Alligator mississippiensis: one gene and its partners. The protein of the gene in region 1 purifies or fractionates together with the protein of each later gene. This does not show direct contact. Links are inferred from orthologs where the notes say so. Each region holds a gene or a part of one and is shown on either strand. Other genes may lie near its edges.

Region 1 (9,761 bases):
TCTCAGTCCATGGGCAACAATAAAGAACAAGTGACATGCTGAGAGGGAAACCTCTTATTTTTTTCTCCCTGCAAACCTGACATCTTGTATCTTCTGACCATGAATAATGTTGGAGGGCCTCTGCCCCCAGGTCACAGGCTGGGAACCAAGTGTCATAATATCTGGCTACTTTGAAAATCTAGTAAATATGTTTCATTACTTTAAACTGTGAGACTAGATTACTTAGATTGTAAATTACTTGGGCAGGACTATTTATTATTCTTTGTTTGTACAGTTCCAACCACTACAGAACCCTGTTCCTATTTAGTCCACAGGCTCGAACATAAACAAACAACAATAAATAACAGGTAAGCAACACCTTTTTCATTATTTTAAAAGGATGTTTATAGTTAAATAAATGAATGTATTATTTGCCTTTCCAAATGTGAATGTAGTCTTTTTTGCATAACTCTTTCCACCAGGAGGCGTTTACCATGTTAGGTAAAATTAGCTTCAAATATAGTTGTCAATGGCAGGAGATAGCCACATCTTTGGGTGACTTCCCTGTTACATCCAGCTGGGGGCAGAAGGTGGAATGGAGAGGGATTAGCAGGGAACTGGATACAGTGACCAGAATCTGATTCAGATTCAGTTGGAAGCAGCGTTTGATCGACTTGGGAATTACCTAAATTGTGCCAATTGGGTGTAGTCTTTTAGAGAACACTTTAGTCAAGTGCATCCTTATGGCAGATCTAGCACACAGCCATTTTATCTTTGTCAAGTATTTTGTTGTTTATAACTACTGGATATTTTGTTACCTGGTTTTCAGAAGTTTTAAAACGTTGCCTCATTGCAGCCAAAATATCTTCAGTTTCATTCCGTGAAAAATAATAGCAGTCTTCATCATGCCTTAAACTGAGCAAGCTGTGCAGGTAAAATTTATAGTCTTTGTTACTCAGACTGATCTTGGAAGAACAGATATCTCTTTGATGAATAATATAGTAGAGAAGAATGAGAGAAATTCTCTGGAACACTTCTTCACTGAGATGGTCCTCTAAATCTCCTCCAGCTATTAATAACAAAGCATCTGGTTCAAGGCACTGTGAATTATTAAAGAAATGGAAATTAGGTTTAAATAACATCATTATTAATCTCCTATACCTAGGATTAGAGAAGAGGGGAGCTCAGATTTATTATTAAAGGCCTAGTCTTTAGTCTGCACCAATGCAGAACTGTGTGGTAAAATTATGATCAGTAGGCAAAAAAGTAAAATTGTGCAATATTAGAAGCAGCTACCCACCTGCCATATTCTGTTCTATAACCCTCTCTACCTGGGAGTAATGGGACCAGTGCCTAAAGCCTTATCCCCATTTAAGGCTGATCCAATGGCCACTGGAGCCAGCTCAAGGATCCCCATGGACTTAAACAAGCTTTCTTGCCCACACTGCAGACAACTGTCACTAGCACCAAACTGTTCTTTAATTTCTGCACAACTTCCACTCATACATTCATTAAGTTTTTAGAATTAAGTCTACAAAGAGCCAAATTTGTCTCTCAGTTACATCAGAGTAAAAGTGAAAGGAATCAGGATTACTCTGTTTTTGTATCACTGTAAGACAGCAAAATTAGGCCTGTATTTTTATGGATTTTTAAAAAATATGTATGAATTTTTCCGATTAGGTAGTTATGTAATATTCACCCCTGTGCAGTGAACCAGGAAAAGACCTACACACTGATTAAGTCCTCAAAACATGTTTTGAGAAAGAGTGAAATAATGCACATGCCTTATACAAGCTCTCTGCATGGCATGGCTTACACTTTCAGGGAAGGTAGAATATGTTGAAACAGCAATATTACAAAATGCCTCTGCAAGACTCCATTTATTCCCATACTTATGCCCCTTTCACTGTCACCTTAGGCAAAGTTCATTGTAAACTGAAAGGCCTGAAAGACCAAGAAACTCTGGCAGACTGAAGAACTATGGATAAGAAAATTCCAGAAAAGAAATTACATTTCTGAAAATTATTAACAGGAGTGATGGAGCCCACAGCTCAGTTTAGCCCAATGCCTGCTAATTAGGGCACTTCATTAAGAAGTTGAAAATGTGCTGGACAAAAGCTGGCTAATTCTTGCTCCCCATTTTCTTTCAACCCTGTCTTGTTAGTTAGACATCTAGTTTAGGTTCAGGTAAATTTGTCCTCTATCAGTGAGCTGGATCCCAACAGCACATCTCCCTTTGGGGAGGCAGAATATAATCTAGAGCTTCTTGTTAACCCAACCCATCCTTTCAAATATACCCAATGTGAAATATAGGCAGAGGCAAACATAGGTCATAGTTACACAGTAACCTGGTAGCAGCATCCTCCAGAATGCTGTGCTGTTTGGGGCTTCTTAACCAGGGAGAAGCATAGCTGCTTCTGCACTGCTATATGGGCAGGTGTAATGGGCCTGAGGTTGCAAGAGTAGCCATGATGCCCCCAGAGCTAGGGATAGACATTCAAAAAGCCAGAGCTTAAATTGATTCAATCTTTGCAGGTTAGTTTAACCTGGCTAGGCTGAACTAGTTTGTAACTGCGCAGACATCCCAGGTATGTAGGGACATGTTTGCAGTGGCTAAGGCTAGAAGCTGGGGGGTGCTAGAGCAGCCCTCCCTTCCCTTCCATAGCACTGAGCTGAGGGGGGCCATGGCCAGACCCCAGCAGGATGCTCTAATTAGCCCAACAGGGAACTGATAACAGTGTTTATCACCCTTAACTCAGTGTTTATTACCCCATTAAGAAAACAACAGAGGGATATTACCAGCTATCTGTTGATTCTACCTGTTGATTCAGCAGGAACCATAGCCAGCATGTGGTGTGCTAGCTAAAACACAGGCACTTCTCTGCAAGGCAGAGGAGAGGGGGGAATTCCTGCTTAGCCGCAAGTGGTCAGGGGAACGGGGGGAGTAGGCCACAGCCTGTGTCAGAGCTGCAGCCAGGGAACAGAGGGGAGGGGCCAGCCCTGTTGTGGGAGCACCCAGCCCAGAGAACATGTCTGGATGCTGGGAGAGTCTAGTTTGTCTTAAAGCAGCAAGGAGTCTGGGACAGACATTGCATAAACCGGTTTGAGCCAAATCAGTTAAATCTGATACTACATTCAACCAGGTTTATCTCAAACTGGTTTCAGCCATTTTCAAACTGGATTATGTGCACTGAACATCTGTTCTGTTACAGGTTTAAACTAGGTTCTGATCACTTAAACCGGTTTATATGTAATGTCTGTCCCTAGCCCAAGTGGCCATACAGTTCCTGCCCACTCAGACTTCCTGAGTACCCTCCCTCTTTTTCTACCTGTCACATCTTCATTGGAAAAATTGGATTATAAAAAGGGAGGCTGCCCCAGGGTCCCAAAGTGAGCCCTCTTTGTTTCTGTTCTCAGTGGGTCAGTCTTTTGTAGCCCTTTTGCTCAGCAGCTCTTCCCCTTTCTACCTGCAAGTCCAGACTGACTGACTGGCTTCAGGCACTGGCTTTATGTGCCTTCCATGCCCTGCCACTTCCTGTCAGGTCATTCTACAACCAGACACAGGATTTCCCATTTTGACCCTGATGAACAACCTGCTTTCTCCTGTTGCAGCTTAGCTCATCTGTTTGCAGCTCTTTATTTCTGGGCTGCCTGTCTGTCTGCCCTAGCACAGCTTGCTGCTGTGCCTCCGTTCCCTAATTAGGATGTGTTGGAGCAGACATCCAACATGTGTATAGGTGCCCCCAGTCCTTAGTTGCCTGGTAAATTGAGACTAAGTTCTCTCTAAAGCTGTGGTCCTAAAATTTTGATACTCATTTTTTTTTCCATTTCCAGAGCCTGGAAAGCTTTGTAGTTTCATTGCTCTTGGTCTCCATTGACTTGTCAGTTTTATAAAGACCTCACCCATTCCTTAGAGGCATGGAGGAAATGGCCTGTGGATATGAACTAGCCTTGCATTGGGCCAAGTGAAAACAATAATGATAAAACTTTACAAAGCCATTCCCATTGTGTTCATTTATCTCTACCTACCATGAACAGCCTTTGATGTTGCAAATTCAAGCTAGTGCTTTCACTGTAGACTGAAGAGTTTAAAAAATATCTGAAAATTATATGGGGAAAATTATTACCGATATGTGAGAAGTAAATGATACTAAGTCTTTAAGTATGCTTGATATTTGGAGTTTCTTTTTACAAGACTAGATCAGCCATATAAATAATTTGCAATTAAAGCATTTCAGAAGTTCATTTCTGTTTAAGACTGAACTTCTTACAGGGCCAAGATTCAAGGTGGCTTCATCCTAATATAATGATTTTAGAACTCATTTAAATGTTTCCTTCATTAATTGAGGCACTAACCAGATTACAGTCCTCCTGTATCCCATTAGTCCGCTGTGGACATTCAATTCTCTCCAGCAATATTTTGATCAGTTCCCGTGAATGGTTCTTGTGGAACTCAGTGCTGTTGTCAGCTGAAAGAATGCGTAAAACTTCCATCAGCACAGAGCTGCCATCCTGCTTATGCTCTTTCTTAGGCTGTGCTTCTGCAGTAATTGTACTGAATATGAAAACTGAATATATCACCCAAAAAGTTGGATGCTTGGTCAGAAAGCACATTTCTTCTTCTTTCTGTAGCGCAAGTCTGTGCTGAGTGCTGTAATGTGGTATGCACTTCACAAGTTAGACTTGAAACCGGAGGAATTTCTATGGCAAAGGAAAAAAAAACCCTTTAATTAGAGTGACTGCAATATGTTTGAAAGGATTTATTAATTGGTTGGCTAAGCTGATTTGCAGTGACAAGCTGTTTCTGAACAACAGGGGGTCTGTAGAAACTTTACAGCCTGAAATAACAGGAAACTAAGATAAGTGTAGCCTTAAAAATTCTGTAGAATTATGGATAAGAAGGTGAATCAGACTACCTTTCCCCCACCACAAAACTTCTAAATAGTCATTTTTCATTTCAGTGTTATGCTACTGTATTTGACAATAATCTTCTTTAGTAAGTATAAGAAAATACCGTTACTTTTACTCCATTACAAAGATTCCCAAGGACTGGTAACATTCATGTACACTAAGTACAGATAAAGCGTGATGAAATAACTCTGATAAAAATGTACAGTAACGATGATATTTAGTAATGATATATAGTGGTCTGCATCTTCAAAACACATTAGAAGCATTAACAAACATGAGTTGTAAACAAAAAGAAAAATCTTATGGTAACCAGAATTTATACTGCTTTATAGTTAGAGGAAAGTTACAAGTCAGACATCATAATGTTGTTCAAACAGCTTGTAAAAAATTAAACTACACAAAAGGCAACTAATTCTCACTTTAAAAATTCTAGATGCAAAGAGAGCATTCCAAATAGTCAAAGTGACTACTATCCTGCCCATATGCTACCTCACTGTCAGATTTCTTTTAACTCTAATTCATCCTGCCAGAGAAGCATAGTAATGGGGAAAGAGTTTTTTAACTTTTGTTTTCCAGCCATGAATTTTCCCTTTGCTGGTGAGCAGTTCTTGGGTACTATACATATATTGGTTAACAATAAACTACATAGGTTAAATAGCCATATACAATATCATCTTCTCTTAACTGTAAAATAATACAGGTCTGATTACTTTTAAAAATAATAAGGTTATTCTAGCAGAATGTTAAGTAGATTGCACTAACAATTTTGCTGAATTACAAACTGGCATTCAATCAAAGAATAGTTGGCTGTGGAGTAGATGTAAAGAAAGGCTTTGACGTTTAAAAAAGAATTTTGGTTTCAACTAAGCAGTTAGAAAGAGGTTAGAAAGCATCACGATTATAGGGGCACAACCATTTTTAACATTATTTTCTTACCTTCTGGAGAAAAAAAAAAGAATGACTGAATATCTCTAGCTTTATGGCCTTTTGAATCCCCAAAAGTATTTAGCTGCTGGAATGCCCGATGTTTTTAAAATTCCTTGATGGTGCTCTGGAAGCTGGAGAGGATTAGTTTATTGCAGCCTTGAAAAGTTTTCAGTTGCTATGGAGAGAACCGCTCTTAAGGTAACAATGGAGGTGGATAGGAATTAGTACATGTTCTTTTTGGCCAGTTTTAGGCATCACATTATTAAATGAATTAGCTAATTATTTTAGTAGTTATCATTTTATAAACGTTCCCTAAATAGCATCAGCAGATGGCAGGATGCATAATGTCTACTGAACAATATATCCCCCTGTGGTGAATAATGCACATAAGCACTCTGCAATAGTTTCACGATCTTATTGAAAGCTGTGCATAATTCTATATCTCATGAAAACATGTCTTTCTGTTTTCACTGAAATGTTTGTTCTGGTTGCATATATGAAATCAAATCAGAAATATTATCTTGAACATCTGTAGAGAACTCTCATTTTTAAAGGGACATTGCTCATGTAGAACAGACCATGAACTTCCAAAAAAACAGAACAAGAGTTTCAACCCTCTCCCCCCTCCAATGTCATGCCTGAATCAAATTTGAACAAATGGGATTGCTGCAGAAAATGGAGAGCAGGAGGGAAAAAGCATTCTTCCTACCCACTCACACTGCTCTACAGATGTTACTGCACCACTGATACTTAGGTCTCACTTTTACCCTCATCTTCTCTCTGTCCCAAAACTGAGTGACTGCACTCCTTAAATAGACTCAATGCCTTGAGTCTCCTCTTTTGCCCACCTCTTTTCTACCTTGGAGAATTCAACTACAGTAGAGTCTCCCATATTTACCTTTGGCATTATTTCCCCCTTGTTTCACCCCTCCCTTCCCTTCTTTAACCTCTATTTCCACCTATTTACATGCTGTGTAAATTTACACTCTGTGCCCTGCTACAGCTACCCCAGGAATGGCATAATGCCATGTGCCTGGGAGCAATACATTCCAGCATGAACTGCACCAGAGTTTACTGCATCAAATTAATTTCACATGTAGACATACCCACTTATATGTAGTACAAACTATGTATGATATTAATCCAAAGCCAAAAAGCATGATTTACCACAGTTCTTTGGGCTGGGCCCTGCCAGAGTCAGCAGCATTTCAAGCTCTGGTGACCCCATAACTGAGCACTGCTTGGTATGTTTGTGTACTCCAGGTACCCACCCCTGACAAAGGATCCATGTGCTAATTATCCCCCCACTCATTACTGTAAAGAGGTGTTCTTGTCATGAATCCTGGGATTGTCCAAAATAAATATGCAAATAAGGTGCAGGGCAGCTTCATGGAAGGTGGGGCCATGCTAAACACAGGCTGAGAAAGGGGGTGAGAGAGGGATTCTGTGTGAATTGTTTGGACCCAGTTTGGTGATGTTTGCCAAACATTTAAGGCTGGCAAAGAAACAGGAATCATTGGAAATGGAAAAAAGGAATAGCTCAGCTATGGGAGCAAAGAGGAAGTAGTTTGTTTTGGTTTGTTTTCTTTTGAGTTGCTCTTGTTTTCACCTTTCTCTGAAGTAGCAAAATGTTAGCTCCAGGTAAGGCTGGTGAGTTTTGACCAAGGTATGCTAGTGTTCTGGCCAGACTTAGAAAACTCTGAGGGTCCTTAGAAGAGGGTCTTGTGATTCCAGTTGGAGTGGTACTGAACACTTAGGGAAATTTTCTCCTAGGTCATATTGGCTTTTTCTTAGGGTCCTCTGAGCATATACTAACCTATTACCTTTCTGTCATTTCAGTAGATAATGTAGAAGGATATTGTTAGGGCTTCTGTTTTGTGATTAGTAGTTGTGAGCAAGGTTTCAAGTGCTGGTTTTGGGGAATTCTTACCTTTGCTAAATATTTGCATGCAGATTCAGAGGACTAGACTCAATGTCCCAGAAAGCCCACTCCAGTCTTATGTTTCTAACTGGAGTGCCCTGAAATTCATATCCAATTTTATCAGTAGATAGTTAAAAATGGTTCTTAGGCCAATCTATTTTGGCTTCAGAAAATAAGTTCGGAACTTCAATTTTTAATGAATGTTAGAGACAGCAGTTATATAAAATGTCACTATAAGAAACATGGCAAATTCATACAGCTACCTTCTTCTTTTTAAGGATTTGGGCATGGTTTTGGTTGGGGAAGAGGAGAATGCTCATTTTTCTTAAGTGAGCTCGTAAGAATTTACTGCAACTTATCTCACTGTTTCTTCCACCTACACAGCTGTTGGGAGAACAAAAGCAGGTCAACCATTCACAAATGCCATGAATAGCGGCACTGTGCAATTTGCTGTTTTTTAAAATATCAATGATTAAGTGATGTGAGAATAGTAAAACTCTTTATGGAACTGTGCTCTTTGATAACAAAAACATTGCTGTGAACCCCACCACCTTGGCAAACAGCTTCATTTTATTTGTAAGGCAAAGTGGGAGACAACGGATGCATCAGCTTAGCAACAGCCCTTTGGTAGCTTGTAGCTTGCTGAGGAACATCGCTAGTGATACTGAACTCTCGTTCCTTAAATACTAAGTTATTTTGATGAACTAAGCCAATGAGCTATGAGCCCTCAGATTAATCATAGCAATTAAAAAAAAATCATAGCAATTAAAGAAAAAAACCTGTGGTACTGCAAATTTCTTACACGTTATCAGGGTGATGTGTGCAGGTCTGATGTAATTAGATCCAAAGAGAGTGTATTGAGATATGAAAAGATTTAATTCCCTACACAATTCAAGTAATATATAACATTAATGCCAATAAATTAATTTCCATAAATAATTTCAGCACTTTAAGACCTCCACAAGATGTTCAGCTTCATTGGCCTGTCTTGTCAGTCTTACCAATATGTTATATTTTAAGAATTATAAATGGTGTTTATACATGTACTCTGTGAGTGGGGGGAGGGGCACTTTAATTACAGTGGCTCCAAGAGCTGCTGTAATTAAACCACCCAGAGCATTGCATGTATCAGCGTCCCTGTGCTGAAAAATAGGGAATGAACTTTAGTTAAAGCACCCCCGCTGCCATTTTTCAGCATGGGGACACTGATACAGGTGACGCTGGAGTCTGCTGGAGCACAGTAATTACCATGTTCCAGTAGACTCGATTGAGTCTGCTCCGACACACTGTAATTACAGCATGTCAGAGCAGCTTTGCTGCATGTGCATGGGTGCCTAATGAGTTAAAATGAATTAATAATTTTGGGGTCTCTGGTGTGCCAGCTGGAGGAGCTCCAGGCCACAGTCCAGAGACTGCGTGCCATCAGGGACTGTGAGCAGGAGATCGACTCCTACTGCCAGGCCCTTCTCCCCTGGGAGATGGAGGGTAGACCACGGTCTCCCTCCAGGACAAGGGAGGACTTGGGGACCTCCCATTCTGTCCAGCCAAGGGCTTGGACTAAGGTGGTCAAGGGCCCCAAGGCCTGCTGCACCAAGGTCTCTGCCCCACTGGAGCTTTGCAAAAGGTACAAACCTCCTGCAGCAGGGCCTGCTGAGTTGCCAGCTCCCACAGGCAAGACAGGGTCTACTGTAGCTACCACCCCTGCTCTCCCCAAGACAAAATGCAGAGTGTTTGTCGCGGGAGACTCCATCCTGAGGGGGACTGAGATGGCAATCTGCCGCCCCAACCCCTTAGCCTGGGAAGTTTGCTGCTTCCCAGGAGCCTGTATTTGAGACATTGCGGAGAAGATCCCTAAGCTCCTCCAGCCCACTGACCACTACCCTATCCTCCTTATTCATGTGGGCACCAATTACATGGTTGAGAGGCTCCCACCTGGGTCATGAAGTGCTACAGGGATTTGGGAGCAGTGCTAAAGGGTCTAGGGGTGCAGGTGGCGTTTTCTTCGATCCTCCCAGTCATAGGC
Region 2 (10,130 bases), on another chromosome or scaffold:
GGATTTTTACCCCAGGATCAGAGTGGTATGGGCTATGGGGCTTTTGCCTTCCTCTGCAGCAAGCGGTGTGGTCCTACCCAGGACCTCATACACTGACAACATTTCATAGAGGCAGGATGTTGGCCACTGTGGCTCCCCTGTTCTACCTGTGGCACATCTATGTTGGGCCAGGTCTGACAACAGTCTTATGTAGAGTTTAGATTATGGTTTAAGCAGGATGGTTTGGACTTTGCTGATCCTGCTTCAGGCAGGGGGCTGGACTAGATGACCTCCAGATGTCCCTTCCAGGCCTACTTCTCTATGACTCTGCTCTAAAAGATGCTAGGTTGCTGCAATCTGCCTCTTTTTATGTAAAAAAACAGAAGCGACAAGAAGTGAAACCCTGACATTGGCACGGGAGGTCTGGGGAAGGAGTCAAAGAATTGCCCAGAAGTAGGGCTGGAAGGTACCTCCAGAGGGTATCTCATCCAACCCCCTGCCTGAGGCAGCGTCAGCCCCATACACCCCCCCTTCCCCCCATACAGCCATCATCTAAGCTCTACACACTACTGCCAACCCTGACAACACAGACCACGAGGAAGCCACCTAGGCCGGAGCCGCCTACGGGGGCAGCAGGACCGTTCCGCCCGCTCCCGCTCGCAGGCCGACGTCCCCGCGACACAGGCAGGGCGGAGCGGGGCGGCGCGGGGCTCACGCTGAAGGCAGGCAGGCTGCCGTCGGTGGCGCGCCGCAGCTCCCGGACCAGCTCTACCGCCCGCTCGCAAAACATGCTGGAGTGCGCTGGGGACTGCGCAGCTTTCCCGCGGCCGCCGGTCCGTTCCGCCAATGAGAGGCGTGGAAGAGCCCAGGCCACGCCCCCTTCCCTACAGGCACTGGCGAGGGGCAAATTTCTCCACGCTCGAACGGAGGCCGCCCCGCTCCCCAGCTTTTCCCGAGGAGCGGCTCCGCCCCCGAGCCCAAAGTGGGCGTGTCTCGCCATGCTGCCCCGCCCCCTCTTCTGTTCCGTGTGCTGAGCGGGACTGGTATCAGTCCTGTCGCGCTGCCGCTGCCCCTTTGAGCTCCTCTGCCTGCTCCGAGCCCTGCACAGCCTGCCCGCTGCCCCGACGGGCTCTCTGGGGGCTCACCCTCTCTTCGCTCTCCCCTCTTCATCTGCACTTGGGCTTCCTCCAGCCCCTCCTTCCATGTGCCCTGCCCCCTTCTCTGCCCTGCCCTTCCCCTTCTCTCCTCAGGATAGACCCCCTAGGGCTGCATCCTCCTGTCCTCCCTGAGCCCCTCCCGTACACTTGCTAGGGTGTGTCTACACGTGCATTAAGGCGCTTTAATGCGCATTAAATCTACTACCTTCATTGTGAGATACTAGGAACATGGGGCATTTTTCCACCTGCTCCAGATATGGCAGGGCACCAGGAGCTTTAATTAGCAAACTGCCCTAACTAAAAGCACCCATGTGTCATGTGTATCAGCATTGCCATGTGTCCCTGCACTGAAAAAATGGCAGAGGGGTGCTTTGAACTAAAGCTCATCAAATGTGTTTTATTTCAAAGCGCCCTACTGCCATTTTTTCACTGTGGGGACAGGTGGCCATGCTGATACACATGAGGCGGAAGGCTGCTGGAGCCTGGCAATTTCTGGGCTCCAGCAGACTCAATTAACTGAGTCTGCTCCAACATACTGGATTTACAGTGCATTGGAGCAGGCTCGGTGCATGTGTGTAGGAGCCTCACGAGGTACTAGGAAAATGCACATGAGCCTGGCTTAATGTGCATGGACTAAAGAACACGGTTTTTAAATTATGCTTAATGTACATTAGCCTATTTTAATCTGCATTAAGTAAAAAGCACAGGTTTTTAAGCGATGCTTTAATGCACATTAAAGTAAGATAATGCGCATTGAAGCCCTCAAGTACATTAAAATAAGATAATGCACATTAAAGCCCTCAAGTTCCTTCCTCATTCAATCCTCCTAGCACTCTGAGTGAATTAGAGCAGTTGGTGCCCACCTTTTGTGCAGGCTTGCCACAAATTAGCCCGATGCCCTCCCCAAGTGCCATCCCAACCCTCTTCCTCTGCCCAATCTGCTGCTTTGCTTTCTGCTCCCTAATCTGTGCTCCCTGCCCAAGCTCCTCCTTTGCTCCCTGCCTGATCTCCTGCTGCACTTTCTGCTCCCTGTCCTATGCTCTGCTGTCTTGCCTGACCCCTTCCCAATCTGTCATGTGTCACACGCAGAGACTGCCTGTGCCACATGAAGCACTGGTGTTGCAAAACTGGAAAACTGCACCCATGAGTTAGAGCACACCTGATCCAGACCTGACTACCTCTCATATTGTCTTCAATCCATGGGCCTTAGGACATGCTCTGTATCCCTAAGAGTAACAGAAAGTCATGAGCAGCCTGATGCCTGTTATGAACGTCTGGAATGCCACTTAGCAAAATAACAGTAATTTTTGCAAGTGGCCTTTATACTCTTACAATAATTCCGGATATGTTCTGCTGATATCTTGGATTTAAAGTCTGATAGGGAGTTATTTTTAAAATTAGTTAATATTAACAGATGTTTTAAAGGAAATGACAAAGCATAATTCAGTGTATTGTCCAATACTTTGTATGTCTTGTCTGTATCGTATGTACTTTTGAACTGAAGACTTATGTTGAAATAATGGCTTCCTCTTTCTTAACCCACCTACTTTCTGATTATCCCTGGAAATAAGTCTAATGCTAAATTTATATTGCATTTATCTCCACATCAAAATGCTCTGTTACAACTATGAAAAAAAGCTGCCAGATGGAAAAGGATGGATGAGAGACTGCATCACATGAGTTCTGTTTGGTCACCAGTGGCGGTTTACTTTCCTGCGCACAAATTTCTTCTTGCCTTTTCTCTTAAATTAAGGGCATGGCAGTACCAGTGTCATTTCTGGTATACTGTCAGAGGACTACAGTACATGCAACCTTGTAGGGACGAACTCAATGATGACATAAATCTAGAAATCCAAATGGCACGAAGATCTGAAAGGGTGTAAGGACTGACCCCTGCATTTGTTGCTTAGGAGTTTCTTCTCAAATATGATGGTCAGATAAGCTTTAATTTTAGACAATTCTGTTTAGTAAATGGCAATAAGCACACAGATATTTATTTAACAGATAGATTGGTTTCAGAATATTATTTATTTCAAATTTGCATTAGAAAGCATGTCTCTTTAAACTCTCCAATCTTTTTGTTCTGAATGTAGTGTCCAGCGTAACTGTAAATCACAAAATTTATTTTGCCAGCAAACCTTTCAAAATATGTGTTTCCCCCCAAGCATACCAAAAGCAATTAACTTAAAAGAATCTTCATGTAATAATGTGAAACTCTTCTGGGAACTGCTGGAAACACAATCAAGTGACAAATATCTCTGTACATGGCCCAGTGAAATACAGTGATATTTCAGATAGCTATGTCAACCAACCAAGGTGCAAAGTTGTAAGTCTATCAAGGCAAAGTTTGATGGGAAAGACAACCTGTAGCAACACAAGGTGGAAGGTGAAACTCAATGGCTGTGCAGGGGCCTAGAAGAAATACTACTTCTGCTCATGTGGAATATTCTCTTTGTTATAATTTTTGAGCAGTAAAGGCTGCACTGAAGGCTACAGGGAGATTTTTTATTTTCTTTCTCTTTCATATAGTGTCAGATAATTCCCATTTGCCAATTCACTCTTTACATTTACATTTTTTGAGTGAAACTGGCCAGGCTTACCCTGAACCAAAAGCTCATTTGTGGTATCAAAAGGGAAGATGCCAGATAGCACGCTTAAAAGGTTGTGAGTGAAGAGAGTGTGGTTTATTGCTTGGATTTTTGGGGGGCGGGGGAGCCCCCACCTCTGAGATACTGAGTGCCTATGGCCATGCAATCCTGCTGTAGGTGGGATATTCCTGCTTTCGGGAATAATGACCTGTCATCTTTTCAGAAGAGGCATGATAGTGGGAAGGCCTGCTCTTGGTAATGTGTTGCTCACGAGCCTAGCGAAGCAGCTCGGGCACAGCTTGGAGACCTCCCAGTGTTCCCAGGTCTTAAATAAGAAATGATAGTATTGGAAGCTCAATTTTTTTGTATTTCCTGAAAAATTATAGTACACTGAAAAACTATACTAATAAATATGCAAATAAGTCTTCTTATTATTTTCTTTATATTGCTCACTGTAAGTTGCCAGTGAGTGAGAACTGGGTCATCAAAGTTGAAGCATTTCTTTATTTTGAGGCAAGCATTCATAAGAAAGTGCTAACAGCAAACCCAAAAGTCAGTTAAGACACCCTAAGAGTGACTTACGTTTTGCATATAGTGCATCAATTAGCAACCTTAAAAATTGTTACACGTTTTGCAGTCATTGTGGTAGAGGTGGTATCTTTTATGAGACCAACTAGATCCGGGGTCAGCAAGGTTTTTGAGCAGAGTGCCAAAAACACCCACAACCTTGACTTGTAAGATGTTGGCATGCCAGGGTTGGGTGGTGGGAGAGCTGCCAGGAGCTCGATCCTTGTTGTGGCAGTGCAGCCTCAACCACTTCCCCACTTGCATGCACCAAGCAAAATGTCTTCAGGTGCCACCCTCTGGCACATGTGTTGGGGGTTGCCTACCCCTGAACTAGATAGTTAAAAAATATATATATTTATTTGCAAGCTTTTGGGCTCATGCACCCTTCCTCAAGTAAAGGAGAATGCAAAGAATGCAAAATTTTTCCCAGATAGAAATGCAACTTCATATTGCACAGGAGAGCTGGAGGGTGATATAAGTTTTCCTGGGTGGATAAGTTAATTTTACTGGGTTTTTGGTTGTAGCCGTGTTGGTCTAAGGACATGGGCAGGCAAGGTTCTTTGAGTAGATGTGATATCTTTTATTAAACCAACTGAGTAGTTGGGAAAAACATTTTAGCAAGCTTTCGAGCACAGTCACCCTTCTTCAGGCATAGGGAATCTCTGCTGTTCTGAGACTCCAAGGAATGAGAGAACCTGAAAGTATGACAGGATGTCAGTGAGAATGTAAATAGGTAGAAATTAGGAAAACAAAAGGTAAAGCAGGGAAGGGAGGGGTGAAAAAAGCAGGGGGAAGGAAAGTCAAAGGTGAGTAAGGGGGACTCAATAGTGGTGAAAATTTAAGGTACGAAAGAGGCTGTCTGTGAAAAAGGAAATAACTGGAAATTAGGAAGACAAAGGGCAGAAAAGTGGAGGAAGTTCATTTTATGAACTTATACCACCCTCCAGCTCTCCTGTGCAACAGGAAGTTTCATTTCTACCTGGGGGAAATTTTGCAATCTCTGCATTCTCCTTTGCCTGAGCAAGGGTGCGTGAGCCTAAAAAATTGCAAATAAAGACTTTTTTCTCTCACAATTATCTAGTTGGTTTAATAAAAGATATTGCCTCTACCCTGGGTGACTGGTGCCTCCTGAATCTGGGGGGGCACCTGCAGAAGCCACTGATGGCGTTGGCAGCAGGACGGGGCTGGCAAGCACCCACAGAAGCTGCTGACAGTGGTGGTGGCGGCCCTGTCAGGGGGTGCACCGGCCCTGTCAATGGTATCAGTGTCAGCCATCGGGGGTGCACTGGCCCAATGGGGAGGGCACGTGCACCCCCGTATACCCCCTACCAGTTGCCTATGGCCTCTACCACACTGACTGCTTTTGTTTTTAGACCAACATGGCTACAACCTTTATTCCTTGTACATTTTGAACATATTATTGATTGTACATCCTACAAAGGTTGAAATGATTGTACATATACAATAATTATTGTACACCTGGCAACATTGACCTCCCTTTGGCAGGGACCATCCACCCAGTTGCCTTACGCCAGTGATCCTCAAACTTTATTGTACAAGGACCCATTTGTAAATACCAATGGCCAGTACACCTCACTCCTGACCCACAGCCCCCCACTCCCAGTATGTGGGGCAGGGGAGGGCGGGATTTGTGGGGCAAAGGGAACGCCAAACAGCCCCTTGTGGGCTTGAGCTCTGTCAGCCTGCAAGGGAAAAGCCACGTTTTTCTCCTTCAAAGGAGAACCCATTTTTAAAGTTTGTTTGCAACCCTTTCATACATTCTTGCGACACACTTTTGGGTGGCGACCCACTGGTTAAGAAACACTAGCTTAGGGAACATGCCTTACTTAGATTTTGCTTCACCCTCACTCAAGATGGCCTCCCTCTCAGGAGGTCGTACTCCCTTGCCCGTCCTTAAGATGGCAACCAGGGAGGAAAAGCGCGGAGGGGACGACCACCCACACTTCTTTGGCTTGCCCGTACTCAAGGTGGTGGCGGAAGGAGGAGCTCAGCCGCCATCTTTGGTACGGGCAAGCGGAACCACGCCCCCTTCCCCTTCCCCTTCCCTTTGGCTTGAAGCCGCAGCACAGCTGGGGGGGGGGGGAATCACGTGGCCTCCCGGCCGCCCCTGATTGGCCAGGCTGCACAGGGCCTGTCAGCGGCCGAGCCGCTGCGGGCGCAATGTAGCGGAGCGCCGGTTGCCTTCAGAGCTGCCGGCTCGAGCCGGGCGCTGCCGCCGTCCGCGGGATGAGAAAACGGAACGAGTCCGTGACGGTGGAGCATGAGCGCCTCGCTGCCGCCCCGCCACCGCCCCCGGCTGCCGGCTGCAGCCTGAGGCACAGCCTGCGCCTGCCTGGCGGCCCCGCCCGAGACGCGGGTATGAAGCGGCCGCTCGGCAGGTGAGACCCCCGGGGCGGCGGGGGAGGGGCGGCCGGGCCAGCGGCCGGGGGGGGGGGGTGTTGATGACGCAGCGGGATTCGAGGCGGGGGCTGCGTCAGGGTTCGATACGGCGGGAGGAGGGGCCGGGTTCCCTGCCGTGCCCCCTGCTGCGCGCATGCAGCTCTTTAGTGATCCATTCGCTTATTTAGTCATTTTATTTATTTACTCATCTTTTTTAGTTCATGTTTTATTCATTTATGTGTTTTGCATAGCACAAAAGCCACCTGCCTCCAAGTGCAACTGGTCTCCCCCACCCCCGCTTCCCCCCGGCCTATCCCAGCACTCAGGGGTGTGTGGGTGTGTGTGTGGGGTGGGGGGGTTGTGTTTGGTGCCGCTGCCAGCTCTGCCTTGACTCTTTAGCATGCCCGCCCGGCCCCGGGAAGGGATGTATTTTATTTATTAATGCTGGGGGCGTATGTCAGGCTGTGCTGTTAGGATGGTGCGTTTTGAGGGTGACTTCCTGTGTGTGAAGTGGGGTGAAAACAAAAATAAAAAAGGGAAGGAGAAGGGGAGGGGGTGGGGGAAGCCAGGCTGGCCATGACAGGCAGGACTCTGAAGCAAGAACTGTGTAAAGGATGCAGGTTTTGTCTTTGGCTGGCTTTCCTTCCCCCTCCCTCCAAAGTCCCAATTACAAAAATATTTCTGGCAGTTTCAGCAGCTGCAGGCATGCTGGAGTGGTGGATGAGAATGACATCTTTTCAAATGGTGTCTTTGGAAGCCTGTTGACGGGGCTTCTTGTTTTATTGGCCAGTTAGCAGGAAAGAACTGAATTTGTTGCCTTTAAAATACTTAAATCTGTCTACTAATTTTCCATTACTGATGCAGATTTGGCAGGGTTATTTATAAAATGGTGGTTTTGAATACAGCTGATGAGAGAGAGAGAGACTTAAGACTATGCTACTTATTGGTTATTATGCAATAATTGCTGATACTTTTATGACCTAAAGGTCATCTTGGGATGCTGTCAAGACTGGTGCATTAAGAAAAGCTTTTGGGAATGGAAGGAGGCATTCAGATGATCGTGCTTTCCTTCTGAATGAGTACACAGTTTATGTGCTTTCGCAGATCTTCCAATTTAGTAATATTTTTTTAAAACCATGCTATTATATTATGTGCAAGACTTCAGACAAAAGTAAACTAGTTCATCCAGGTTTTTTAGCTATATACAGAAGCAGGAGTCCTGCCAAAGACAGTATACTGAAGTGATCCTTAAGGATTAATGAAGACTAAGTTGTTGACTTCATATAGCATTCAGACGTCTTTTTAGAAATGTGTTTAGTGAGCATACTGCAGCTACAAGGTATTTCACTCTGGCAAGGATAATTTAATTATATTTGAAGACTATCTCCCTGCAGAGAACAGGTACCTCCCTGTCTTTATTTATCTTTCTTTCATATTTTGAGGACTTGGTAACAACTTTTAATAAGATAAAGAAATACAATGGAGAAAATCTAATGGCCCGTTCAAAGATCAGGTAGACTTTTCCATTCACTTCACAGGATTTTGGAAGATGCAGCTTCTTAGGGATTTGCAGGTGGTTACCATGTATACTTACATAAATATAACAAATATGATGTCCACAGAACCAAAAATTGACAAGTCAGCATGAAAGGCACAGGTGTCAGGAGTATTTGGTATCTAGGGATTGACTGCCAAGGTTGTGTGTGTGTGTGTGCATGCGTGCCATCAAGAAGACCGTTTTTTGCTATCAAGAATAAACTTTTCTTGCAAGTTTCCTAATCTGGGGTACTTGGAGGCAGATTAGAAGTTGTAGCAGCTTGAAGTTATTTATTTATTTTTTTTAATGACTATAAAGTAATGCAGCCAGTATATCCATCCTCATAAATGTCTGTATTCATTTTGACCCTGTCCTTAAATATGCTATGAACTGTAACACTTACAGTATACATGTTTACTTTAAGAATTTTGGTTCATTTTAGGGGTTGAGGTGGTAAGATGTTAGAGAAAACTGGAAGTTTTAGCAGCCTGCATGAGGTTTCTTGATTCTGGAAAGATGCGTGACTTTGAAACTGTAGGAAAAGTGTGTTAGTAGGATCACTCTTAAACTAATTATATGTGTGAAATAATTAATCACTCTTAAGATGTCAGCGTTAGGTTTGAGGGCCAACATCCTGTTCAGATAGAATAAACCAGTTTGTACCTCTAAATGCAGGGTGATAATACATGGGCTAGAATTTGTTCATGTTTTTTGTTCTTTGTAAACAATGAAGATCATTATTTAAAAGAAAAATAGCTTGGAAGCTGTTGCACAGTTCTGCAGTGAAAGGTTGGTCATGTGGCAGGTCGCATGGTCTCAGAATGTGCAGCCTGGAAAGGCAGTGATGTTTACCACAGGGCTGCATGATGGTGATTTTAAAACACCAGCAGTTTTTCCATGTGTGGTTTCAAGCAAGATTTGCTGCATTCTGCTTGTTTACAGTGAAAATTGTTCATGTGCATTTTTTTTTTTTTTTCAGAGCCGCATGGGGTTTGAATTGCACTTTGGGAATGGGGTCTGCACAAAAATTTGGGCTGCCTGTCATGATGTCCTAATAAAATTGAAGACCCCTCCCCCTCCCCCCCCCCCAGCTTATGATTTGCAAATCTTACATGGGGGCTCTTGTCTCTTATGAGGGGGCTCCCCCATAATTCAAATCCTGGAGCAGCACAGACAAAAATAACAGAGTACTTGTAAATTTAGGCAATACTTGTAGGAGATAATATTGACAGCATTGAAAACTATTTTTACATGGCTTGTTTCCTCTATCCCATTGTTTTATTTAGTGTGCTTCCAGCACACTTGTCCAACAACTGAATCACACTGATGTATGTGCACAACCACTTACTTTAACTAACTTTATAATATAGCCTTCTGCCTATTTATATGGAGGTGGATGTCTGCATCTTTCAGATTGTAGTTTGGTTAAAGTCTATTCTACCTCTTTGCTTAAAAAAAAAAAAAGAGTACTGTAAGTGCTGCTTTTTGGAAAGTAAGAAATAAATGTATGTATTTGTACTTATTCCTCTGTGGGTGTAGATGAAGTTTTAAAACTAAATGCAGCAACATTTTGAGAAGTGTTCCATAATTTTACAGGCCTTTTTTACCTTTGGAAAGTTTTGCACCTCTGAAAATCAGGCAGAAAATGCTAAATGATGGTGAGCATTTTGGCCATTATTAATCGGGGTAAACTTGCACAGTGGTATATGCTCTAAATTCCAGATGTTTGCTTATTTTATTCTTTTCTTTGAGGTTGCCTGCCATCTCTGTATTCAATTGTAGGTTATGCTGAAGGTGACAGCATTAAAGTAAGCATTAGAAGGGTAATTATATGGCTTGTATGTAGTAATAATCATAATGGGCTAATGGTATTTTGCTGTCCAGTTACTATGTTCTTGTAAG
Region 3 (9,596 bases), about 98 Mb from region 1:
ACAATCCAGCAAACCCTCAGTTTCTCAGCTCTGAGTGGGCTGCAAAGTCTGCAGCTGCTTGGAGAGTACTCAGGTGACCATAGCAACCCCATGGTGTGATTGCTAAACATCCCAGCCCAGCAGCAGCTGCCTGGCCTGGAGCACAGGCAGAGGGGGCTCTGAAGCATATCATGAGGTGTTCTCCACCCCTCCCTGCCCTCCCCCCCACCCCCACCCAGTACCCCAGCACTGTAGGCAGGGGACCTGAGCAGGCAGTGCTGGCACCTGTGAACCCCAGGCAGCACTAGTGGGTGCTGTGCAACAAGGAGCCAGGAGCTGAGTGCAGCAGGGCAGCACCCCCCAATACTGTGATGCTCCACTACATCATTAGGGGGAAGTGCTGCAGAAAGTGGGTGTGGGAGCTCGGAGGGTGCTGGGCTACAAGGTGCAGCATGGGGATTCAGCAGGATGCACTCCTCCTGTCAGCCCATGCTGACTCCAGTGAGGCTCTAAGTAGCATTGCTCTGTAGGAAGTGAGGTGGGGATGACTCAGTACAGGTGCAGCTCTCCCTTAACAGCCAGGGCAGGCCCTGATGCCCATTGTGGCATGTGGAGGTGCTGCTGTACTATGGGCAGGAAACAAGCACACCGGCAGCTGATGCTGACCCCAGTGCAGCTCTAGGGAGCAGCTGTGCGGACCCCAACGCTACACAAGATGGGGCAGAAAAGACATTTCCTGTCAAGCACCAGCCACCCTGGCACTCTGTGTGCCAGATCCACCCCTGTCAGGAGTAAAGGGGGCCCCAGCCTCCTCACAGTCATAGATCCCTGTCCAGCTGGAGGCTGACTGAGGGCAGGCCCATCCCAGCATGTAGACAGGTGAAGCAGTCACTACAACACGCTTTATTCACACGTACGTTCAAATACACACACAGGCCTAATGCTAGGGGTGACAGAAATGCTCAGCAGCTCTGAGAACCAAGCCAGATGCCACTGCAGTTACTGGAGCCTATGTGCAGCCTCCTTGTCTCCAAAAGCAACCTTCAGTCACAGCTACGATGGGGATGGGCATTAGACTCTTGGGCACCATTTCCTTGCCCACCCCCTCATTCACATTTCCTAGTCCCAGCCAAGCCTATGCATGGTAGAAGGCTGTTCTGGGATGGGATAGCCCCTAGGGAAGGAGGGGTGCCCCCAGGCCCACATCACAAGAAACAGTCCTTCCCAGTCCATGCTTCACAGGCTTCTTCCATTCTCTCTAGGCATGCCATGAGCCATGACTTTGCTGGCAGGAGGTTACTGTCTCCCAACAAGCATTTCCTAGTGTTTGCTCCATGCCTCAGCATCAGCCCCAGCATATTACACATTGCCTGGGCCCTCATAGCAGGATCCACCTGATGACATCCAACTCCCATGGAAGCACACTCAGAAAGGCCCTTGTATGCACACACATTCAAAGGTGGTGCCCCCTGTCCTCTGAGTGTGGAGGCCTTGGACTGTTCACAGATGCTCCCTGAATCCCCTTGTACAAGTTCTCCGAGGTGCAGTGGAGGATGGAGAAGCCCCAGCTGGCCCCTCTTACCCCACCGTCAGGAGGGCGCCGGGTAGGGGCAGATGCTACAGCTCCTTGCTGAACTCCTGCACAACGGTGTAGCCCAGCCAGCTTCGCCCGCCAGTTGCCTGGTAGCCACAGCTCTCAAAGAGGTTCATGGCAGCCTTGGCGACTACTGAGGTATAGAGCACGACACGCTCATAGCCTTGTTCTCGGGCCTGTGCCTCCAGGAAGGCCAGCAGGTGCCGGCCCACTCCAGATCGCCGGTACCAGCGGCTGACAGCCAGGCGCTTTAGTTCTGCTGCGCGAGGTGGGCCTTGGTCCCAGGGCTCCAGTGCCACGCATCCACACACATCATCGCCATCGTACACCGCCACCCAGAGGCCCCGCTGGCCCCCACAGTAGTAGGTATGCAGGCAGTGGAGGTCAGCGGACCGCCACAGGAGCAGCTTGAGGGCCACAATGGTGAGCAACACAGGCACCAACAGAGCAGCCACAAAAGAGTTGAGCAGGAAGCGGAGGGCGCTGCTCACTACAGCCATGAGCAGCAGCACCAGGGGTCGTGTCAGGACATACAGGATCAGCCGGTTCTCTGTGTCTTTAAAGCCATCCTGTGGAGGGGAGGGCAACATGAGCATGGGCAGGGACCATGGTGTGGCAGGGAGGGGCACACTGTCCAGGCAGCACAGGTGACGGCACCAGCTGGGCTGCGCCAGGCCCAGAGAGCATAGAATGTGGCTCAATCCAAAGCTGTAGGTGAGCCAGAGTCTTCCTGAAGGGTGTACCCCAGGCTGGAGTAAGGGGCACCTAGGTGGAAAGGAAAATGCCCCCAGCAGTAGAGCTTGCTGAGTTCAGAGGCAGTTTGGGAAGGCAAGGGAGGCAGGACCTCAATCCAGTATTTCTGTCACAAGTACAAGACACAAGACACAGGCAGAAGCTTGGCTGCCTTTGATTTTAGGGAGATGGGTAGAAGTCAGAAATCCTGGGTTCTACTGCTAGCTTGGTGACAGGAAGGGGACCCAGGGGATTAGAGTAGGGGACTCCTGGGCCTTGGAGGGCTGGAGCAGATGACTTGTAAGGCAGTGATTTTCAACATTTTTAGCCTAAAGGTGCCACTCATCAGACTTGAGGCGCCCCTCAATAACTTCTGTGAATTGAGAGGCGCCCCATTTAAAAACTAATACATGTATTATAGTACTTACCTCCTTGCTGGCAGACTAAGTAGTGTGGGCAGGGGAGCAGCCAGGCAGGGAGAGCCTGAGCCTGCCCATATCCAATTATCTCCCCACACCTCATCTCCTAACACAGTGTGCCAGCACCCTGGTAGTGAGTCACTGCTGTAAGGGCTCAGTCTCCACAGCTTACCAATACAAGCAAGGCTCCAGGTTGAGGCCCCCACTGGAGGTGCCCGTACCTGACTGAATGCACCCAATCTTGTCTAAACTCAAAAGCTAAACAGTGCTGGGCCTAGTTAGCAGGTGGAGGGGAGACCATGCAGAAATCCTGGGTCCTGGAGGCAACCCTGGCTGGGGCTGAGCAGCTGCCTGTCCAGCTGCTTTGCTTGTTTGGCTCTGGCCCAGACTGAGAGATGAGCCACAGGGCAAAGAGCTTCCACCCTGGGGCGCCTGGCTGGTCCTGCCTTGCTCCCTGCTGCTGCGGTGCAAGGCAGGTGTCTGGCATCCCCACAGGGCCTGGATCCTGCACCCCAGCTTGGCCCCCACCTCTGCCCTGCTGGCTCTCACCCCATCCAGGTCTATGGACTCTTCCATTTGGGGTCACTGTCTCTGCCCATGCCTGGGCCCTGGCACCAGGGACAAGCAGGTGGCGAAGTGGGCTGGTTACTGGGGGAGGGGGAGAGAGTTGGGGGCAGGTACTATGGGCAGAGCCAGGGACAGAGCTTGGCCAGACACAGCAACCGGCTACCAGAGCGCCCCCACCCCCAGGGAGACCTTCAGCAGCTCCAGGACGATGGGTGCCTCCTCCTCCCGCATTCTGCGCACGGCGAGCTGGGCAAGGTCCAGCACGGGCATCGTGGCAGCCAGGCGGGCCCTGCGGGGCAAGGACGGGCAGGTAAGCGCCGGAGCCCGGACGAACCAGGCCGCCCCCGCGCGAAGCACAGGGGAGGGACCCGGCGGCCCGCCCCCCCAATGGTACAGCCGGCAGCTCCGCGGAACGGAGCCTCAACCAACCGCCTCCCCCGCGCCGGATGAATGGATCCGCCCGGGGCCCGCGAGCAGCCTCACCCTCCCTGGCGCTCAGCCGACTCGGCCGCTCCCACTGCGCCTGCGCAGCCCGCCCACCGGCCGCTTCCCTCCCGGCCCCGCCCACACTCCGCTGTTCTAGCACCAGGGAGGGGCACCCGCACTATGGCGCTGAGCGTGTGCTGCGGCCCAGCTGCTCGGAGCCGGGCTAGGGCGCTGCAGTCAGCGAGCGTGGAGGGGGTACGCCGGTAGCCTCACAACCACCAACCCTGCCCTCCACCCGCCTCCCCTGCGGCTGAGCCGGGATCCCTGCCCCGACCCGGCCCTGCCTGGGAGCTTGGCGCCTGCCCGAGGCCGGGTTGGCTGTGCGGGGCGCCACCCCGCCGGCTGCCCGCCGCGCCCCGAACGGGGCAGGTAGAGAGGCTGCTCCCCGAGGGGATCCCTCCTCCTCCCGGTGGGCAGTTCAGCCCAGCCCTTTCCCGGCAGCCCTCTGTTCCAGTCACCCCTGCTCCCCACTTCGGGCCACTACAGCTCGCTCCCGGCAAACTGAGTAAACCAGGCACAGACCCTTCATAAGCAGTCCTTTATTTGCCGCCTGGGCTGAAGCAGCTGTGTCCTTTGGGGAGCAGTGCCAGGTGTCACTATGGAAGAGATAGGATCCAACCCAGCCAGGGGGCTCAGGGCAGCATCTGGGTGGCAGGGAAGTGGTGCCTAATGGCTTGGGAGACCATTGCACTTGCTCCCTTGTGCCACAATGCCATCTCCTGCCTGGGAGAGCAATGGGTTTCCACAGATCAGCAGGCAGAGCTGTGCCCACCCAGGCCCCTCCCCCAAGAGAAAAGCATGTTTGCGTGTACACATGCAGCCTCACAGCACTGGCCCCTCCTGCAGCTAAGAAGAGACTTAGCTAAGGTGGCCTAGCAAGGCAGACAGTCAGGAAAAGAACCCAGGAATCCTGGGCAAACCTACTACCCACTCACTCCTCCCCTGCAGAGCCAAGACACAACCTAGGAGTCCTGGTTCCTGAGGTAGCCTGCTCTGGACCTCTGGACCCCACTCTCCTCCCAGCCCTGGAAGAGGCTCAAACACTAGAAGTGAGCAGAGGCTAGAGAAACACTCTGGCCAGCTCCCATTGCACCTCTGCTCAGGGACAGGCAAACAGCGCCTTGCAACTGGAGTCCAGCTAGACAAGGCTAGGGAAGCACTCAGGCCAGCTCCCACTGCACCTCTGCTCAGGGACAGGCAAACAGCGCCTTGCAACTGGAGCCCAGCTACACAATCCCACGCCCAGCTAGAACTGACTCAGCTCTGATGACATGGATGTCAGGTCCTACCAGCCCTATGCCTTGGAAGGCTACAGCCAAGGTTGGAAAGGCAGTCAGGGGCTGCCTGCGCTCATCAGGCAACCCAGAGCCCTCTGCTGCAGCCAGCTGGACAGTGTCTGTAGTACATGGCATGACAGTAGAGGAGGGGACATTCACCCCAAGTTCAACATGCGCTGGCACAGTACTGGCCAGCAGGGCAAGGCAGGCACCTGCAAGGCCAGGTGCATGGGACTCAGAAGGTATGAACCAGCTGCACACTGGGCACTGTCTGCACTATTTGGATGGACTGCAGCTCCTGGGGAGGTGGCACTGGGCTTGGCAGCAGCTGTACCATCTGGGTGTTGCCAGAGGAGGGCTGGCCACTCCCTGGGCTGTTGGGCACCCCCCGTGCCTGCAGGGGGAGCTGTCCCACATTGGGGCCTGGGAGTCCTGGCAGTGCCTGCAGACCTGACACGTTCTCCAGGACCTGCAGGGTCTGCTCACTGGGAGTGCTGCGGATGATGAAGAGCTTCTGCCCCCCAGGAGCCGTCAGGGCCCCTGATCCGCTCTCTGGGGGCAGCTCTGGTAGGTTCTCCACTTCCTGCACACAGAAGCGGGTCTGCTCCCCATCAGCACCACGCAGTACCAAGACGTTCTGCAGTCCCTCAGCCGTCTGCAGCATCTCCAGGTGCACATCCTGCACCCCTTCTAGGCCACTCACTTCAGTCCCTGGCCCCAGCAAGTCATCACTCTGTGCGCTCTGCACCACAATCAGGTCCTGGCCCTCTGGCAGGTCTGCCATCTCTTGCCCAGCATCTGCAGGGAGCTGGGCACTGGACAGTTCATGGGAGCTGGGAAGAGTTTGAGCCTCCTCTGCCTCCAGGGAGCTCTGCTGCAGGGCCTGGATCTGGATGCTGGTCACGTCCTGAGGCTGCGACAAGGCTGGGATGCCAGTCACCTCAGGGGGCTGTGGCAAGCCCTGGACTTGGACATTAGTTACCTCAGCAGAGGGCTGCTCAGGCATGTTCTGCAGCACAATAACATTCTGCCCGGTCTGGAGCCCTGGCACCCGCTGAGATCCTGGCAAAGTCTGGATCTGCATGCTAGGCAGTGCCTGCCCGCTGGCTGGCACCAGAATGATGTTCTGGCCAGGCTGTGGTGGGTTGGGGTTACTGGGGGCAGCCTGCTTCTTGGCCTTGCCCTGCCGGCGGGGGGGTGGCTTGCTGGGAACTGTGGGGCTGCTGGGCATCAGGGTGATGTTGGGGGTACTCTGAAGAATGGGCACTTTCTGGTGTGGGGACACCATCTGCGGGCTGGGCAGGAGGATCAGCTTCTGGGGGCTCTGCTGGATGCTGGGGATCAGCTGCAAGCCCTGTGCTGTCTGCACCAGCAGGAAGGTCTGGGAGTTAGGGGCACTGGGTGGGCTAGCCACCTCTAGATTGAGGGTGGCCTGCAGGTTGGGCACAATGTGCACCTCCTGGGTGCTGGGTGTGAGTGGAAGGCCCTGGGCTGGCATCTCACTCTTGGCCTCAGGGGTACCTGCCTCGGTAGCGTGCGTGCGGAGGTGGCGCTGCAGGTAAGAGGCCATGACGAAACCCTTGGCACAGACAGGGCACTTGAAGGGGCGCTCACTAGAATGAGTTCGCTGGTGCAGCTGCAGGTTGGAGGAGTGGGTGAAGGTCTTGCCACACTGCTGGCAGGTGTAGGGACGCTCACCTGTGTGAGTACGCTGATGCTGCCGCAAGTTGGAGGTCTGTGTGAAGGCCTTGCCACAGACAAGGCAGGTGAAGGGGCGCTCACCAGTATGCAGCTGGCGGTGGCGCCGCAGGCAGGAAGTGTTCTTGAAGGCCTTGCCGCAGTCGGTACAGCTGTAGGGGCGCTCACCTGTGTGCAGGCGTAGGTGGTACTGGTAATGCGATGACCACTTGAAGGTGAGGCCGCACTCAGCACACTTGAAGGCACGCAAACCAGTGTGCACACGCTGGTGGATAGACAACAGTGAAGAGCGCTTGAAGGCCTTGGGGCACTCCAAGCACTTGTAGGGGCGCTCCCCAGTGTGGTCTCGCAGGTGGTAGCGCAGCCCTGATGAGCCTTTGAAGGCCTTGCCACACTCTGTGCACTTGTAGGGGCGCTCAGCTGCCTCAGCAGGGGCTGGGGCCAGAACAGGGGCCGGAGTTGGGGAAGGCTCAGTTGCTGACTGAGGGCAGGTGACCTCAGCCTCAGCCTGAATGAGCTGCTGCTCAGCAGGGTGTGTGCGCTGGTGTGCCAGAAGGTTGGAGAGCTGCACAAAGGTCTTCTCACAGATGGAGCACTTGTAGGGTCGCTCACCAGTGTGGCTGTGCTGGTGCCGTGACAGCCCTGACCCATTTTTGAAGGCCTTGCCACAGGTGGGGCAGGTGTAGAGTGGTGCAACAGGCAGCTCCTCAGCTGGCAGAGGCGGGGCCGCCTCCAGGTGGCTCTGCTGGTGGCCCAACAGCAGTTCCTCACTTTTGAAGGTCAGTTCACAGTCCCCACACTTCCATAGCATCTCCACAGTTTCTACTGCCTCTGCGGCAGCAGCCAAAAACAGCTCAGTTGGTGCACAGGCCAGCTCGGCCTCACCGTAAGCGGTCGGTGCCTTAGCCGCATGCGTCTGCAGGTGCTTCTGGAGGTAGGTCTCCGAGACAAAAGCCTTGCCACAAGCCTGGCACTTGTGGGCCCGGCTGCTGGCATGGGTGCGTTGGTGCAGTAGGAGATTGGAAGAATGGGTGAAGGTCTTGGTGCAGTCAGCACACTTGTAGGGGCGCTCACCTGTGTGAATGCGCTGGTGCTGCCGCAGGTTGGTGGACTGGGTGAAGGCTTTGCCGCACGCTGTGCAGACATAGGGGCGCTCGCCTGTGTGGATGTTGCGGTGACGCCGCAGGCTGGATGAGTTTTTGAAGGCCTTCTCGCATGTGGTGCACTTATACGGGCGCTCACCTGTATGCTGGCGCACATGGTACTGGTAATGTGAGGACCACTTGAAGGCCATACCGCAAAGGGTGCATTTGAAGGAGCGCAGACCGGTGTGCACGCTCTGGTGGATCTGCAGCAGTGAGGAGCGCTTGAAGGCCTTGCCACAGTCAGTGCACTTGTAGGGGCGCTCCCCAGTGTGGCTGCGCTGGTGGTAGAGCAGTGCTGAGGAACCCTTGAAGGCCTTGGGGCACTCCGAGCACTTGTAGGGGCGCTCCCCAGTGTGCGTACGCTGGTGGTGAATGAGCCGCGATGACCACTTGAAGACCTTGCCACACTCCAGACACTCATACTGGTGCTCACTGGCACCTGGCTGCGGCAGTGGGGCTGGCTGCATCTCTGCCATCTCGAGCCGCTGGGCTCCCACCATCTCACCTGTACCTGCAGCAGAACAGAACACAAGTCAGCGCAGAGCTAACCCCAAGCCAGGCCATACGGCCACTCTAAGCCGGGCCAAGGGGACCCCAGATTTACCCTGGGGGAGCTGAACCCCACTTCAGTCACAGGTGACTCCAGGCTGACCCAGGAGAATAGAGAAAATAATGGTCATTCATCTCATTATGAGCCGTGCTGTTTGCATGGGCTGCTGGGACTCTTGCAGATCTCAGGGGGTGAGCAAAAACATGTGTAGGGATGCCAGTTGGTGACCCTCCCATCTGCCCCAGGTCTCCCCAGCTGAGCTCAGGCGCATCCTGCTGCTCACTGCATAGGCTATGCTAACTTGCTTCTGCACTGGGAATAGAGCAGGCAGCCTGGGTTCCTGGAAGCAGCTCTCTCTGGGCTCAGATGTTACTACCTGGGAAGCCTGTTGCAGGGACTTGCTGCCTCTGCAGCTAGGCCAGCTGAGCCCTCAGAAGGCAGCATGGACTATTAGGGGGGGCTTCCTACCAGCCTAACCAGACCAAGAGCCCCGGCAACCCAGGCTGAGCTGGCAGGAGTTCTCTCCTGCTGGCTGTGCTGCATCCTCGGGAGGGGATCCTCCAGGGGCTTGGTCAGCTCCCCTGTGTCTGACAGGGCAGTAGGACCTCCCTGGCTCTCACTGGTCCACAGTGGTGGTACCGCAGCAGCCCCAGGATGAGTGGGCATTGCTGTGTTGCCCTGGTTGGTGGGCTGGAGCCACCTGCCCACTGCCCGCACCGTGGGTCAGCCAAGGGGGAGGGGGGGGGAGTAATCAGGGCCTGCGGGGCTGGTGGGTCGTCCACGAGGGGGTGGCCAAGTCGTAAGGGCTGCCAGCTACCTCCTCCTGCCTGGGCCAAGCAGGACCAAGCCCTGGGTGCCAGGCCCAGGCTCAGCCCCCGTAAGGCTACTTCCCTGCGACTGCGCCGCCTGCACGCGAAGGGGGGGGAGCACGGCCCGCGGGTGGGGACAGCTCTTTGGGACAGGAAGTGGAAGGCGCCCGGCGCCGAGCCCCGCCCCTTCCGCCTGAAGGACAGAACCCCGAGGCTGCCGCCGGCTAGTCCCCGCCGCCCTTGCGGAGCCCGGCAGAGAGGGCAGCTCCTGCCGCGCGCCGCCGCCCCTTTAAGAGTCACGGCCGCCCCCAGCGTGTCTCCCTCCAGCCGGACAGACAAT

The links.
Region 2: the proteins of SLC39A12 (region 1) and ABHD12 purify together in Homo sapiens (co-immunoprecipitation; 3 studies listed by BioGRID and IntAct, counting the BioPlex papers as one, with this or other methods). This does not show direct contact. The link is inferred for Alligator mississippiensis from reciprocal best matches to the Homo sapiens genes SLC39A12 and ABHD12.
Region 3: the proteins of SLC39A12 (region 1) and NAT14 purify together in Homo sapiens (co-immunoprecipitation; 3 studies listed by BioGRID and IntAct, counting the BioPlex papers as one, with this or other methods). This does not show direct contact. The link is inferred for Alligator mississippiensis from reciprocal best matches to the Homo sapiens genes SLC39A12 and NAT14.

What each region holds. Positions count from the first base shown.
Region 1 is NC_081828.1:182,241,228-182,250,988, reverse strand, and holds the start of SLC39A12 (zinc transporter ZIP12), read right to left. Parts: upstream 4,668-9,761; 5' UTR 4,594-4,667; coding exon 4,336-4,593; intron 1,080-4,335; coding exon 798-1,079; intron 1-797. UniProt on the Homo sapiens protein: Uniporter that promotes Zn(2+) import from the extracellular space to the cytoplasm across the cell membrane. The transport activity is temperature dependent. May play a role in neurulation and neurite extension.
Region 2 is NC_081824.1:234,391,850-234,401,979, reverse strand, and holds the start of ABHD12 (lysophosphatidylserine lipase ABHD12), read left to right. Parts: upstream 1-6,424; 5' UTR 6,425-6,538; coding exon 6,539-6,690; intron 6,691-10,130. Other genes in the region: GINS1 (DNA replication complex GINS protein PSF1), read right to left, coding at 695-769.
Region 3 is NC_081828.1:84,026,244-84,035,839, forward strand, and holds NAT14 (probable N-acetyltransferase 14), read right to left. Parts: upstream 3,844-9,596; 5' UTR 3,775-3,843; intron 3,768-3,774; exon of another isoform or gene 3,721-3,767; intron 3,581-3,720; 5' UTR 3,562-3,580; coding exon 3,481-3,561; intron 2,143-3,480; coding exon 1,597-2,142; 3' UTR 868-1,596; downstream 1-867. Other genes in the region: ZNF628 (zinc finger protein 628), read right to left, coding at 5,290-8,397. UniProt on the Homo sapiens protein: Probable acetyltransferase. May act as a transcription factor that regulates the expression of coproporphyrinogen oxidase by binding to a promoter regulatory element.